Xenopus tropicalis: one gene and its partner. The protein of the gene in region 2 interacts with the protein of the main gene of each other region in a pairwise test. Links are inferred from orthologs where the notes say so. Each region holds a gene or a part of one and is shown on either strand. Other genes may lie near its edges.

Region 1 (8,137 bases), on a different chromosome or scaffold from region 2:
TTTATAAGCAATAACACAATACAAAGCAGCTGAGGTACTGTGACAGACACAGATCACAGCACTAACACATTATCTTCCTGCTGTAGACTTTTCTCACTACCGATAGGCCTTTAAAATCATCTGACTCCTAGCAGCCAATCGAAGTTTACAGGAGAGAGTGAGCCAATGTTTCCGGAAGAGAAGTTGCTTGTGTTCCGAGGTAAGCAGCCGGAGTGCGTTGTGGAGCTCAGCAATAATCATATATGGTATACAGAATTTCTAAATCAGTTTGCTGCAAGTTATGTGGCTAAATGAAGGATATATGCCTATATGTAGTATTACTACTGCACCCCGCCTATTAAATAAGCTGGAGTGACTTACTTTGAATGCCTGTGGAAGATGTATCTGTATACATGCTTTATCAGTTCTGCATATTGGAAGTAAATAAAGCATATAAAGTGCATTTATTTAAATAGAGATTTTTTTAAATAGAGTTTTTTTTTTTAAAGTTTTTTTGTAAATATCATTTGTCTTTCTATTGAGCTTCAGAATCTGGTTGAAGCCCCACCCTATGACCTATGTACCCACTGCTGTTTTTTTCTTATTAGTGCAGGTTGTGCTTCTGCAGAGTAGGGTGACCAGATCACTTGAAAATTCAGGGACACGTCTAAAAAAAATCCAGCTGATTGCATTGTGTTCCTGAATTTTCTTGGCAACCTACTGCAGAGGGTGACATCAGTTTCAGATGGAATGTCAGTTTTCTGTAAATGGCTTTGTGTTCTTTACAAGCTTTGTGGACATGCAGCTTATATGATGCTTAGGGTTTGGATTCCTTTCTAACAAATCTAAATCTTTCATAAACTTCTGGGATAAGACAGATTTCTGGTTTTAGCACTTTCCTTTTTTATATTTACAATTATACCGGTATGAGATCTAGAATGTTTGCTAGATTGGGACCATATCTTAAAGGGCATCTAAAGCTTATTTCACTTCCAAAACCTGAGGTTCCTTTTCAGACAAAACTGAACTGGACAGTAAAAAACGTGCTTAGTCGTTTTCTTACCTTTACATGTTAAACCCTGCGCATACTGTAGGTGCGGCAATACTACGGGGTTACAATTATTATTTATATAGCTCCATCAATTTATGCAGCAGAATAGAGGGGTACAAAAGATATAACAGTTAACATGTACATATACTATATAGATTGTAAGCTCTATGGGGCAGGGACCTTCATCCTCTTGTGTCTTTGACTCTTAACTTATTGCAACTGTATTTATCTTGTATTTATTGTTGTACTTTGTATGTATCTATTATTATCTTAATAATCCCGTTTGTATTAATGTATTCTACTGTACAGCGCTGCGTACATAAGTAGCACTTTATAAATAAAGATATACATACATATACATACATACATACATACATACATACATACATACATACATACATACAAACAATTCACAAAAATGGTTTGCAGTTACATTGGACGAGGATCTGAGACACTAGGGGGAGGGCCCTGCTCGCAAAAGAGCTTACATTCTGAAAGGGAGGGGTAAATAGCATGGCGTTGGAATTCATGTAGGTGTGTAAAGCGACAGTAAGTGCGGAGTAAGAGGTGAAAACCAGTGGTTAGGAAATGTTTAGGAGGGTTTATGTTATAGGCTTGAGTCAAAAGGTGAGTTTTAAGAGACCGTTTAGAGGCTTCGAAAGTCTGGCAGTGCCTAATGGGACAGGGAAGGGCATTCCAGAGGATGGGTGCAGCGCATGAGAAGTTCTGGATGCGAGAGTGAGAGGAGGTGATGAGTGAGGAGGAGAGAAGGAGGTTGTGTGTAGTGCGAAGGTAACATCTGTGGGTGTAGGGTGGTTAGGGTGGTTAAATAGAGTGATGCAGCACCAGTGAGTGCTTTGAAGGTGAGTACAAGAATCTTGAACTGAATCCTGTACATGACAGGTAGCCAGTGCAAGGATTGGCAGAGAGGGGCAGCACTTGTGGAGCGGGAGGAGAGGTGTATGAGACTGGGAACCTGAATACTACTAAAAGTGATCCAAAGCACAGTACAGTAAGGGTTAAACAGAGTTGTAGTCAAAATCAGGCACTAGTACAAAGTACCCAGCTGAAACCTATTTCCTGCCTGCCTACCTGGTTTTTGTGTTTGCGACTCCCCATACTTTTTGCCTGACTTTGATTACAGCTCTGTTAAACACTTAGGGCCAGATTCATTAAAGTACAAATTACGAGTACGATTTGTAAAAACTCACATTAAATACTCAAATTTCTGATGTATGTTAATTTTTTGCGAAAATTCGCATTAAATACTCAAATTTCTGATGTACGATAATTTTGTGAAAAGTTGCGTTGTGCTTAGACGAAAATATCGTGGTACGATCCAAAACTTACGAAATGTTCGTATCTGAACGATTGTAAACAGCGTGAAAACCTTTCTGACTCTGAACCTTCAGTGCATGATTTTGGAAGCCTTCCATAGGACTCTGCAGCTCCAACCTGGCCAAAGTAAAGCCACGATACCGAAGCTTGAATGAATTCGGAAGCTTACTCGTTACGACAAATACGTTTTTGTCGCACAAATTGTCGCAAAGTACGAAAAAGCCATGCATATTAACAAACATATCACAGAAAATATGCAAAAGTTGTAAACTTTAGAAAAAATATAAATTTTTTGTTATTGGACCTGTCGTACTTTAATGAATGTGCCCCTTATTGTACTTATTGTGCCCTAATTCTCAACAGTGTTCAGATTTCCAGTCAGTACCCCAGCAGAAATTTCAGGGTCTCCCAAAAGGATGTCGGTAAAGTTCAGACTCGACTGGGGTTCTACTTCTCACCAAATAGTTACTGCAATACAGATCGTAACACACAGGCTGATGCAATTTTCTCTAAACTAGTGCTCTGGCACGGAGAAAAGACTTTGCTTTATTTCACAGGGGTAGCCTAACATTTTGGCACTCCCCACTAAAATAAGCTTTAGATGACCTTTAAAGCTACATAGAACTTTCAGTTTTCAAAAAAAATAAAATAATAGAATTGTTTTGCACTAACATGGATTTATGGTAACTTAGTTGCCAGTTAGGTCAAATATAATATATATTAATGGCTAATAATAACTAGTGGTCAAAGTCTGTGTGTTTATGGCACAAGCAGTATTCCCCCTCTCCCCAGTTCAAAGTTTTACTGTGTGCTCCTGTTATAGTATTTTTATGGAGTATTTTCAATATTCCTTTTTTCTCACACAGAATAACCTTATACAGATAACGGAACAACAATGTCTGGCCTCTGGAAACATATGCCTCAGGAAATTCTTGCAATTATTTTTTATCACCTGTCTTTGAATGACAGATTTGTAGTATCACAAGTGTGCCAGTTGTGGGCAATTGCGATGGCATCAAGTCCTGTTTGGCACTACACAGAAATCAGGTAATTGCTTGTTTAGCAGACTTTTCCTATATAAAAATTGCAGATAAGGGCAAACGTGAATTACACCACAAAGTGATGTGCATGCTGGAGCAAAAACCTTTGGTACCCTAAGCAAGAGTGCTGAATTTCACCTTCTCTTATGGTCAGATTTATGATATAAAACAAAGGGGTTGTATTACAGTACTAACTAGTTACATCATGTATTAACTCACAGAGATGGCATCATGGTATAACACAAGGTGGATATGCTACAGGCAGGGCCTGCATCTTGATAGTAGATGCAGCATAACTCACAGCATAACCTTATCATATATAACTAACATGGGACCAGCCTTACATTTAATACCAAAACAATTAATTATCATGTCATAGTGGAGTAGCACTTGTCTCACCTATGATACATAGCTGATATAGGCTACTGAGGGGTTTAATTAAGTGGCCAGCATGGACATGCCTTTATATCAAATTGCTAAACTATATCATGGTTAAAGTAAGAAACAATATAATAAACATTAGTTATATTTTTAGAAAACTTTATTACCAGTTGATAGAATAGAGAAAGCATTGTCTTGATCATGTCATTTCATTCTTTCTTTCTTAACAGACTGGTATCTGACAAAGACTTGCTGTTACTGGAAGGACTACGCCAGTATGTAGGTCAAATTAAACATCTGAAGCTTGTGTTTAACCAATCTAAGGAGACAAACCGTATGAAAGTTATAGAGATTTTTGACTGTTTATGTAAGGAGAGCTGCAAACTGGAGAGCTTGAATATTGTTTGCTGTGGAGAAAACCCATTTTTTTATTCAGGCCCGGAGATCTTGACGAGTATTGCTAATTTGTGCAGAGACAGTCCGATAGACCTGCATCATGTTGATTTCCGGAACGTTCCATTTACTCTCACTGATGATTTTGTTAGATGCATTGCTACTAGCAGCCCAAACTTGCGGAGCTTATATATCAACAATGGCACACTGGTTTGCAAAATCTCTACCAGTGCCATTAAAGAGGTTTTGGAGGTTTGTCCTAAATTATGTGTTCTTGGTGCTTTTTACTGTTCTTTGAATGAAGATGTTTTTAAGGACATAATGAAGCCTCACAGGCCCCCATTTAATTGCCTAGATCTTTTCTGTGAACGTATGGACAAGCATATCTTAGCAATCTCTGATGAGGTTTGGAGAGACCTTCGCTGCCGACATCCCTCTCTTCATGTCAATATGGCATTTGATCACACTATCCCTGCCCGTAAAATTCCACATATTTTAAAACCAAGCATTCCTGTCGATACGTTGCAGCTCAATACGTTTAATGAAATGATGAATGAAATTAGATTTGTAAGCAGCCATTATTCACAGACATTGCAGAAGTTTGTGATACAGACCACTTCCTCTAGTGAACTAGATTCTGCTCTAATTGACTTGGCTGGCAAGTGTAGTCGGCTTGAGGAGGTTCACTGCTACTGTGTGGTAAAGCAAGAAGTGATCCAAGCTTTTCTAACTTGTTGTCCTCATTTGAAAAAATATACCCTAAAGGTAATCAAAGAGAAGCATCCTTGGAAGCCAACTTTACGATAATCCATTTGACTCTGCAGTGAATGAAGTTTCACAGTTGCTCAATTTACAGGGTTCCTTAAATAAGAAACATATAGCTTATATTTAAATACACTGTGCATGCTTTGATCAAATTTGAAAATAGAATTGGTAACATTTACAACATAAATTTCTATATGGAATGCAAAGCACTTTACCTCTATCAGATTGGTTTAAAATGGACCGTTTTGTGATTGCACTTAGCACTTACATAGTGTATTGGGGTTTACAGCTAGGGATGTGTTAACTTCAGAACTTGGTTAGGGATATATCTGAATTATTGTATTTTTGTAGGCTTATGATTACTTGGCAAAGACTTATGAGGAATTGTCTTCTCACAAAGAGCATTAAAGGGGTGGTTCACCATCAGTTTAACTTTTAGTATGGCCTTTTAGTATGACCAGGGCTGCCACCCAAGGGGCCCCTGCCCCCCTCCCCCGCAGGGCCCCTGTCACCTGCCTGAACCCCTCTGCCGAGCATGCTTATCAGCACCTTGGCGTAGAGTGATCTGCAGCCTGTGGAGCTCCAGCAGGGATTGAGTCTGACCCTGGGTTCTTTCAGTTTAATAAAAGCAAGTGTAACTTAAAATTCAGAATATGGTAATATACAAGAGACTTTGGCCATGCCTCTGTAATAATTAAGCTTGTGTTGGAGGCCCCCAACTGTCTGTGGCTCCTCAGGGGTGGCTGGTGAGCATTCTTAGGAATCTACTGTAGTCCTTGAGCCACTAGACCAGCAGAATAGCAGATACAGTGGAAATGGTTAGAGCAGATGGCAAGAATCTGAATTCGAAAACAAACAAAAGGAGAGGAGTCCTCTACGACTAATGTTAAGTAGTTCCATAAAAATTGTCTTTCCTTACTTTTTGTTGTACTTGCTGAGGGGCAGGTTATCCTGTTTTTAACATGAGTTCAATAATAAGGGTTGTTGTGAAAATAGTTTTTGCGTATTCAGTTATTAGGAAATATCAACGGGTTTTAATTATTTGTTGCACTTAACAGGGCACTTAAGAGTCATTGCAATTTCCTGGCTATAACTAGCTGTTTAAAGGAAAACTACCCCCAGAATGAATACTTAACCAACAGATAGTTTTTATCATAATAAGTGGCCTATTAAAGAATCTTACCATACTGAAATATATACTGTATATATCAGTAAATATTATCTTTTGACATTAAAATTCGAGATTAGAGCTCATCACGCCTATAATGAACTCTATGTAATTCAGGGCTTTCTGTATAACAAGTTTCTGATTAAGGGATCCCATACTTGAATTTGAATATTCATAATATATTGTTGTGTGTTTTCATGTTTTTAAATGTCTAATAACGTTTTTTTTTTTAAATTGTAACACTAATTTTTTTTTAAGCATGTAGTTCATTAACCTCTCTAATAAAACGGTATGCCATTACAAGCCATATCATCCTAGTTGGGTTTTTGTTGGAAAGCTGCTCTGCAGTTGCTCTTTGTGTATCCACTCACTGACTGTAACACACAAGAAGCAATAAATGCTTCTGTACTTGAATAAAGTTCCCAGAATCCCTACTGGAAAGGGCACACCCAATGAGCAGAGGAAGAGGACTGTAAAATCTGACTTTAGTACCATAATACGGACCATCAAAGGAGCAATACAGCAATTAAGATGGAACAAACCAGAAGTAGTGTTTCATGCCTGACTCAGGTAGGAGAGTATTGATCTTTGATGTTTATTGTACATATGAATTTTGTAACACTTGCAAATCTGGTGGGCATACACCCATATAGAACCTTTTTTTGGGAAACCTGCTCCTGTTTTGTAACAAGGTAACTTGCTATTCATCCACCCCCATTCTACCATCCTGGTGATTTTAAAAAACCATATACAAAGGCATTTTCAGACCATAATAGTGAGTTAATTAGGAGGAAAGGAAAACCCTTCTTCCCGTCATTGTAGGCTGAAAAAAAAGAGAATTGGTTTCTGATCAGGCACCGGAAAGTCACACCCCTTGCTTCTTTCTTATTATTTGCAAGCTTGTTTTATGTAATTGAATCTGTTCAGTGGATATTAATCTGCTTTGGGCTGTTTGGATTTCTCATCACTCCTTAGTTTTTGTTTTTATTTTGCTCTGAACACTTCTGTTTGCTTTGGCATTACCCTTTAAAAGTAAAGTATACACAGATGTATAAAATGTCAAATTAATTATTGGAAAGGGTTACTTGTGTTTTTTTGTCTTTGTTTTACATAAAGTGACCAATTGATGGCAGCCATCGTCTAGCATGACTACGATGCTCTTCACAAGAGTACATCATTTTTATCCTCTTGGCATGAGCTTGAGTCACATGTCCTGGTTCTGTTTCCAGCCACATAAATGATTTAGCAACCTGCAACTCATATTATTGCTAGCTTGCACTGTTTGACTTTTGGGTATGGATGAGTGGTCGTGCTGTCATTTGGCTTGACCAAAAGTTTATTGAAAGTTTGATGATGCCTTTTATAAAGAGCTCTCAACTGGTGTTTGGAATTATTACTGTTTTGGTTCAAATTGGATTCCTTTGCAGAATGACACAGACCATCCCACCTAATCCTATTCTGTAACCCTTGTTCATTAAACTATGGTAAGACCCCCTGATTGCTATGTATTAAAAAGGACATGTCACCCACAAATAAAAAGCTGTATAATAAAAGACCTTTGCAAATTAAACATGAAACACAAATTTGTTTTCTTACTAAAACATCCATACCTGCTATAAACATATTTAAAAAGCTCAACTTTCAGTCATATATTGCCTTTCCCTCCTCTATGCGTCAGGCATAGTGCAGGGCAGTTAATTACTTTCACTTTCCATTCAGCCATTCATTCCTAGAAGTGACTACATTTTCTGTTAAGTTCCTCTCTGTCATTCGGTTGTTGCTTGATTGATGGGGCACCAAGCCTAGAAACTGGGTAGTAGTATTTTACACCAGCAGATGTAAAAAAAATAAAATAAATAATGAATGACCATAAATAAATGAATTAGTACAATTTCTGAAATGTTGTCGATTTTTCTGATTTTTCCAAATGTATTTATACAGTGTGTTGCATGAAATATTTCTGATCATTCCCATAAGGCAGGGGCCCCAAACTTTTTAACCTGTGAGCAACATTTACATTTT
Region 2 (8,033 bases):
CTCCCCCTTCATTTGGAAATTACGACCAGGAACTCCGGAGGGCAGAGGGTTACTTTGCGGGAAACTAGAACTATAGTTTTCCTTTGTTGTTTTTTTTTTAAAAGATATTATCCATTTTACTGTGATTTTCTAATTTGTAGTTTATAGGCTATTAAACTTTGCAGATATCCCTCATCAGTCTCAAACAAGCGCTTTCTGCTTTCAACAACTTTAAAAAATGTGTGCGGGCTCATTAGCTTTCCTGTTGAGTGTTACTTGGCTACAGCACAGGGGCTCGCTTTTAATTGGTGGGGGGATGTCAGCTGACCGCTGCAGGGATACCCATGCTCATGGGATGAAATCATTACATTTACCTGCAGTGCATAATGGTTTCACCCATCATGTTGTCCTTGGGATTCCATCCTGAACTACTGTATTGAAAATCACTTACCCCCCCTTAATGACTGGCACAGAATACAGGTATCAGGAGTCATGCCTATCAACTTAACTGGGGCCAAGATGGCCCCAAGAGTGTGGTTTCTGATGTCTGCATTCCCTTGCAGGTGATTGGTAGCTTCCTTTGTAGCAAAAACTGCAGTTCCTGTAAAATAATTGGTTATATATAATAATTGATGATTTCCTTTAGTCTTCTAGTCAAAACATACAGACCCTAGGCAGTGAAATCTAAAGTTGCCCAATCATTTGCTTGTGCAGCTACCTTTGATCATGACACAGCTGGAGGAAAACATGCCGGTCACTGCTTGAGCTATGAGCTTTTGTGGTGACATGCAGGTTTCAGACCAAAGATATTGATATTCTCAATATATAGAGAGATACAGAGAGAGAGAGAGATACAGAGAGAGAGAGAGATACAGAGAGAGAGAGAGATACAGAGAGAGAGAGAGATAGATATAGGTATAGATATAGGACATTAAGACATTCTGTGCATTAAGCTACTAAGAAATGACCTCCCCTTTTAGCAATATACTGAAAGCTGGCCAACTATGCCAAATTTAATTCCCGTACTGACTTTTATATTATTTATTAAGTATTTTACTGCTTCATTATACATTAGTACGCAGGGACTGATTTTTACCTGCAGTTTACTTCCTTTTAGTGCAAAAAAATTGTTGCACTTTTTATTGGCCACCATTGAGATCAACAGACTGTAGCTGGGAATGGTGAAGGCTACAATATGTAGAGTGCCTGAAAAAGTATATGAAAAACTTTTCAGTCAACTATTGTCTTAACACCTGCTGACCCAGCCCATCCATACCCAAACAAAATTAGATATATATTCGGCAGGGTTGAAAATCCTACATGGCAAAGACTGCATTGTCACTTTGATGCCATTCTCGTCTGACAAGTCCATGTAGGCTGGACCCACTCCTTATAAACCATTATATTTGTTATAATAAATTAAACAGTATATTTGTTTACCTGGGCACAGTGGACTCTCACATGGAACTTGTAGGGGATCAGTCACCGTTTTGAAATATCCACTATTATAGAGCAAAAGGAAATTGGTCAAACAATAATAAAATGGCATTTCCAAAAGCTTTCTTGATAATGAGTCTCCTTAATCTAGATCCCATACCTGTAAGATTAAAAATGTGCTTAACTACACAATTAAGATTTCAAGTACACTCTGTCCCCTCTAAGATATTTAATAACCAGTCCTCTTTTTAACAGAATATGGTAATTCCTATTGCCTTGTGCTGTTAGTCACTCTGCTCTGTATGTTGCTGTCTAGGCCAAACTTCTGTTATTTTAATTCATAAAGCCTTTGTTTAAAATGAGGCTGAGTGAAAAGCATGGCTCAGGGATAGCAAATGTCCTCTCTGTAATTGGCTGTATGTCAACTATTGATGTACAGATTCTTTTTCTGGGCAGGATGGGCAAATGGCCTCTAATGCAGATTTGGAGCTTGGCAATTGCCATTATCCTGGCTGCTATTGGCAAAGTCATACTGCAGCAGTAAAATGACACCCTTTGTTGGTAATTACTTTGTTCTGCTTCCATAGTTATACCTGCTCAGTAAGTCTTTCCCACATCATATATGCCAGAGACACTTTCCCTTTGTGTACTGCGTGCACACTAATGGTGGCCAGTGTTAACAAGGGTTCATCCATCTCCAGCTGTCCAGCCATTTGCAGTCGGCTGTTAAAGGAGCAGTGCCAGGTTGACAGCTGTTAGAATTTAGTGCATTTTCCCAATTCCTGCACAGCTCTCTGAAAATTGCAGAGTACCGGTAATTGCACATTCCGGATGAGACCCAAAGCTTTTAGCTCCTTATTCTCTTCCTGGTAGTGGAGGGCAGGGTGCTGGCAACAGTTGGCAGGCCCCTTCTTATTCCTACTAGCTGCAGCTTCTTCCCTTTGCTCATTAGGCCGTGCCAGACCACTGTATATTGCACAGTTGGTGTGGGTCTTGGGCAGAGACTGAAGCAACCAGGCACCAGGGCTGTTGTATAGATGATTATTTTTATTGGCCCTGCCTTACTGACAACCAGGGCATGAAACATGATGTTTGCATTTCATTAAAGCAGAAGGAAAGGTATAGTCACTGGGGGGGTGGTTGCCATGTTAGCCACTCTGTGATTCTACTTGCCTACAATGGCCTGCAGTGCACTTGCTGTGCTTGCTGCCATTTTGTTCCCATGTCTCTCCTGCTCACCATGCTTAAATGTGCTTCAGTGCAGCATCTTGAGTTTCACAGCTGCCTTCCTGATCATCTCTCATTGAAAGTACCAATTGATTTTCTTTCTGTTTTGCTTGCAGTAACTTCACTAAGCAGTACTGTTTGTGTTGATTAATGTGTTTTTGTTTTTCAGATGCCTTCTATAAAGCTGCAGAGTTCTGATGGAGAGATTTTTGAAGTGGATGTTGAAATTGCAAAGCAGTCAGTAACAATTAAAACTATGTTGGAAGGTACTTTTTAAAAAAAAATTCTTTGAATATGTATTCTTTATAATTTTGTCCTCTGGTGTGCAGGTCTTCATTTGTTTTTATTCTCCTAGCTTTGAAAGTGTTGGTGTAAAGGCACATTGGGCAATTGAGTGGATTCTCTCCAAAAGCAATCCCTTTACAGAAACAATATTGCTGGGAATTTTTCTTCTATGTAGCATTTGCATGACCTTTGAGTGCACCTGGGTGAACAGACATTTGCAATTGAAATGTCAGGGGTAATTCCAATCATTTTGTCATCCACTTTCAAATTGGGAAATTTCTTGGGTTTGTGGAGGATTATCTTTTTAGGTAGTAGCTCCTTTTACACTGATAAGAGACAGGTACACAGGGTACTTTAGAAAACATTGTTTGTACAATCCAGGATTTGGAAATGATGGAATAAGGGCTTTTTATTAAAAAAAAAAAAAGTTTTGGTGCTGTTCACTACATAACAGGTACACAGCGTTTCAAACTACTCATAACAGCAGTGATCCCAATATAACAAATAAGTAGCAGTCTTGCTGAAAAAAAATTGTCCTCAGAGGAACTGGTTGTAATATTTCTGTTGTGTTTAAATTTATTTTGTGTAAATTCTTGAGAAATCTCTTATTTGACTATAGTTTTAGAACATTGCCTTTCTGTCTAAATTATCTTGGGTTTTTTTTTACATTTTTTTGGCAAGACACAGTTATCAATTAAATGTTTTTAAACAGATCTGGGTATGGATGATGAAGGTGATGATGACCCTGTGCCACTTCCCAATGTTAATGCTGCAATCCTTAAAAAAGTAAGTGCTATTTAGGTAGTGGTTTTACGTATACCCATACTAGAATACTGGATGCAGATTAGAGATTGTTTTTTTTTTTTTTAGAGGTGTTGGTTTGCTGCAGGGATATAATGCAATGTAATTAGGACAAAAAAATTGTACCAGATTCAGAATTGTGTTAATTAAAAAGTTGCAACAGCCTCCCCCCCCCCTACACACACACACACACACACATTATTTATATTTGCTTATCACTGCCAGAAGAAGAACTACTTATAAATGCCAGGGTTTTAAGGCATATTGGCAAGTAAAAAAATAAAACTGAACTATTGGTTATTAGGAACTTCATCCTGCTGTTTGGGGTTTCATATTCTTGAGTTATGATGTATACTGTTTCAGACCTAGAAACACTTGCTCTCTAATTCAGGCAGTAGAGGACATTGCTCCTATTTTTGGTTTAGCTCTTCAAGTGTAGGTTGTTACAAGATTTACTTTTTTTTTTTTTTTTTTTTTTACTAGCTTGAATTATATTAACATATAAACAACAAAATGATGAAATTGAACATATCTTAAGTTTAGCAGTACCACATTGTCTTGGATTCAGGACCTGGCCAACAAATGCAGTCAGTTGTATAAATCATAAAGATAAATACCTATGTACTTTTATTTTCATCAGGTCATTCAGTGGTGTACACATCATAAAGATGATCCCCCTCCACCCGAAGACGATGAAAACAAAGAGAAGAGAACAGATGATATCCCTGTGTGGGACCAAGAGTTTTTAAAAGTGGATCAGGGAACACTATTTGAACTGATTTTGGTGAGGCATGCTCACCAAAAAACCCAACAGCTTTTATAGAACCCATTAGAATTACATAAGTGTATTTCTAGTACTTGTACTTAGTAGTATTAATAACCTTAAAGGGAACCTGCAACTTAAAGTACCACACAGTCTGAAGGTATTGCACACACAACACAGCCTGAAGGTAGTGCACACACAACACAGCCAGTAATTATTTGTGTTTTTGTCCGAAAGAGGTAGGAGAGTTGATATTTAAAAACCTTGCCATTAACATGTTCCAACAAAGTGTGCTTGTTCTCCTGCACTTGAGAGGTAAGGGTGAGCCCACATATATGAAACGTTGTGCATAATTTTGTCCTTAGTGGCTTCAATAAAGGCATCCACATGGCATCTGCATGTTGCTTCTGAGCAATATAGTTTTAACACACATAATTTTATTCATACATTAAAACGTGGCTGCCATTTTACTTGTTAACACATAACACAACAGTTACTAGAAATTTATACACTAATTCATAAAAGATTTTTAAAAATTTACATACACATGTCCATATATTCCTCAGTCAGCATAGATTTAACTTCCAAACTGAAAATGGCTGAAACTATTTTTTTTTTTTTCATCTCAATCCTATATACATAAATTACACTTGCATATTCATATGTAGTGCTTATACGCCACTTAAAGCACGTATGATAACTTTTCCTCATAAAATACCCTTCATTAATTTAGAGCGAGTCCAAAAAGAGCTACTATTTCATTAATATCCATTTAAGGATTTGAGACCAATACTGCACTGCATATTCTAGATGGGGCCTTTGCCAGTGTTTTCTAAAGTGGGAATATGTACTTCCCCTCTGAGTCTGTATACCTTGCTGGCTCTTCCTTCCGCTGACTGGCATTGCTTGCTAAAGCTAAGTTTATTTTCCACAAGTCACCCCAGCTCCTTGCATATTTTGGAATGCCACTTAGCAGGCCAGTCTCCCAGTTTGTCCAGTTCCTCCTAAAGGATGCTACATTCTTGGTGGCACTGATTGAGCTGCATAACTTTTGTGTCATTGTCATAAACATATATTGCTTCTAAGCCAATTCATAAGCTTTTCTGCAGTCTATTGGTACCATATCAAATACAAGGGAGTGTGAGCAAATCAGGGGTGGGTTTGAGTTCTTGCTGGTCAAAAAAAAATTGGGGGCTGGTTTGATTTTGCTTTTTTTTTTTTTTTTTTTTATCTTCAGGCTGCCAACTATTTGGATATCAAAGGATTGCTTGATGTCACCTGCAAGACAGTTGCAAACATGATTAAAGGAAAAACGCCAGAAGAAATTCGAAAGACCTTCAACATCAAAAACGACTTTACTGAGGAGGAAGAAGCTCAGGTATATATTTATACGCTTAAGTTTATTTCCTTTTACAAGTGTGTCAGCCAATATCTCCACTCCAACAAGAGTATTTATTAATGAACCTCTTTTATGCTATTTTCCTTTTAGGTACGCAAAGAGAATCAGTGGTGTGAAGAAAAGTGAAGTTGCATACCTGTTACCACTGTAACACTGTACAAGTCGTTCCAAATCAACTAGTTGCACTGCTCTGTTTATACTAGACAATTCAGCAGCTTAAATTAGCAGGAGGATGTTTTGCTGCATGTGTTGTGTCTGACATTTTTTTTTTTTTTTCTTATTGAGTAATTCAGATCTTCAAGCCGTGTTTTAACCATTGTAATCTTGTGTGATATTTCCTTTAAAACAATAATAAACCTGTTAGCTGCGTGCTTTGAAGATGAAAGATGGCATCACAGTAGTCTACTCCTGTTCTTGCAGAACTGTGTTTTGACAGAACTTTACATTTCCTAGATTTTGGCTTCTCTGACAAGGCAACTTCAGCAGCAAATCACAATGTGTGCTGTTTTGTGTGTATGGCAAAATAATCTGCCTGGAACATGTATGTGACAGACTCTTCTCTGTTTAGTGTAATTGGCCACTCAGGCAGTTATGAGGTTGTGAATTTTTGTTTTTATATAAAGTTCACCTTCTATGCATACAGACACTGATTTCATACTTTAACGAACGTGTCTCAAGTTCATGTGCGAGTATTTATCTTGTGTGGTGTCCCAGCTCTGAATGTCACAGGGAGACTTTAGTGGTTTACCTTTCCCTCTAAAAGCTTAGAGAGGTAGCATGATTTACATTTCCTTAGTGCAATAGATGCTCAAGCATAGTTTTGAGACAATTCCTTGGTTGCTTTTCTGTGCAAGAGAAGACTGTAGCACTGCTAAACATTTACTGCAACAAAGAGCTAAATAGGTTAGTGCAAGAGCCCATTTGTTAAGTCATATTTCTTTTTCTGTTCTCTCACATCCTTAATAGGAGCGGAAAGGTATAATTATTGGGAAGTGCAAAAATGTTATTTACTCCCCCCCCCCCCCCCCCCCCCCCCCCCATTGATTATAATTGCTTACGTGAGACTCCAGGCCAGTGTTTCTGGTTGCTGGAAACTGCACCATCCCAGTGTAATAGGCTAGAAGTTGACATGGTGCTCCTACAAAAGTACCCAGGGTCTCAGATAAGGCACCCCCAGTAATTATACCTTTCCTTCTCCTTATGTGCTTCATTCCTGGTTTCATATTTGGTGTTCCTTGCGAAATCTGTAAGGAAAAGAAGGTTTGGACTTTCCTAATAAACTGACTTTAAAAGGTTTTTTGGTTCACTGCATTGTCATTAAATGAAATTTCATTTTCAGTTGCAGTATCATTTGTTCATTTGTTTGATACATTCATGTGTAAAGGGCATTTGTTGCATTATTCCAACCTCAGATTTATGTAAAAAACAACTTTCACTGACTATCACTCAGTGCAGAATGAATGAAGTCTGTTTTAAAAGTAAGTTTGGGTAAAAAAAAAAAAAGACAAATATTTAAATAGTTGTTGACATTAAGTTACTTAGTTTTTTTGGTAAGCTTAAACTTTTTCTAGCTTGTAGCTGATTCAAAAGAAGGCTGAAAAGGCTTTTGCCTATATGCTGCCTCAGCTGATGTCCTTGTTTTTCCTCCCTCAGACAGACCAGTCTTTCAAACCATAGGGAAAAAAACCCTATAAACTTAAAGCTAATTATTTACATTGACTTGCCTCTGCATTGCATGAAGGGAATATGATTTCTTATCTGACTGGGTATATTGTACCATTCTAAACTTTGGTTTCCACGGGCAAATACACCCCTATCAGCTCTTTACTTTTTCTAACTTATGTGGCCAAATTTAATTTGCTGATTGGTTACTATGTCTCCATTGTTAATAAATATGCCTCTGAGTTTGCGAGGGGACATGATTACTCTGTACAAGTACATTAGAGGGGATTATAGGCAGATAGGGGATGTTTGTTTTTATGGGAAAAAACGATCCACGCACCAGAGGCCCCCCCTTTAGATTAGAGGAACGGAGCTTCCATTTGAAGCAGCGTAGGTGGTTTTTCACGGTGAGGGCAGTGAGGTTGGGGAATGCCCTTCCTAGTGATGTGGTAATGGCAGACTCTGTTAATGCCTATAAGA

Evidence for each region.
Region 1: the proteins of skp1 (region 2) and fbxl8 interact in binary tests that used the Homo sapiens proteins (3 or more experiments, as listed by UniProt). The link is inferred for Xenopus tropicalis from reciprocal best matches to the Homo sapiens genes SKP1 and FBXL8.

The regions. Positions count from the first base shown.
Region 1 is NC_030680.2:52,167,912-52,176,048, forward strand, and holds fbxl8 (F-box/LRR-repeat protein 8), read left to right. Parts: upstream 1-3,377; coding exon 3,378-3,415; intron 3,416-4,019; coding exon 4,020-4,989; 3' UTR 4,990-6,422; downstream 6,423-8,137. UniProt on the Homo sapiens protein: Substrate-recognition component of the SCF (SKP1-CUL1-F-box protein)-type E3 ubiquitin ligase complex.
Region 2 is NC_030679.2:26,566,077-26,574,109, forward strand, and holds skp1 (S-phase kinase-associated protein 1), read left to right. Parts: upstream 1-2,810; 5' UTR 2,811-2,812; coding exon 2,813-2,909; intron 2,910-3,640; coding exon 3,641-3,714; intron 3,715-4,369; coding exon 4,370-4,513; intron 4,514-5,729; coding exon 5,730-5,870; intron 5,871-5,981; coding exon 5,982-6,017; 3' UTR 6,018-6,276; downstream 6,277-8,033. UniProt on the Homo sapiens protein: Essential component of the SCF (SKP1-CUL1-F-box protein) ubiquitin ligase complex, which mediates the ubiquitination of proteins involved in cell cycle progression, signal transduction and transcription.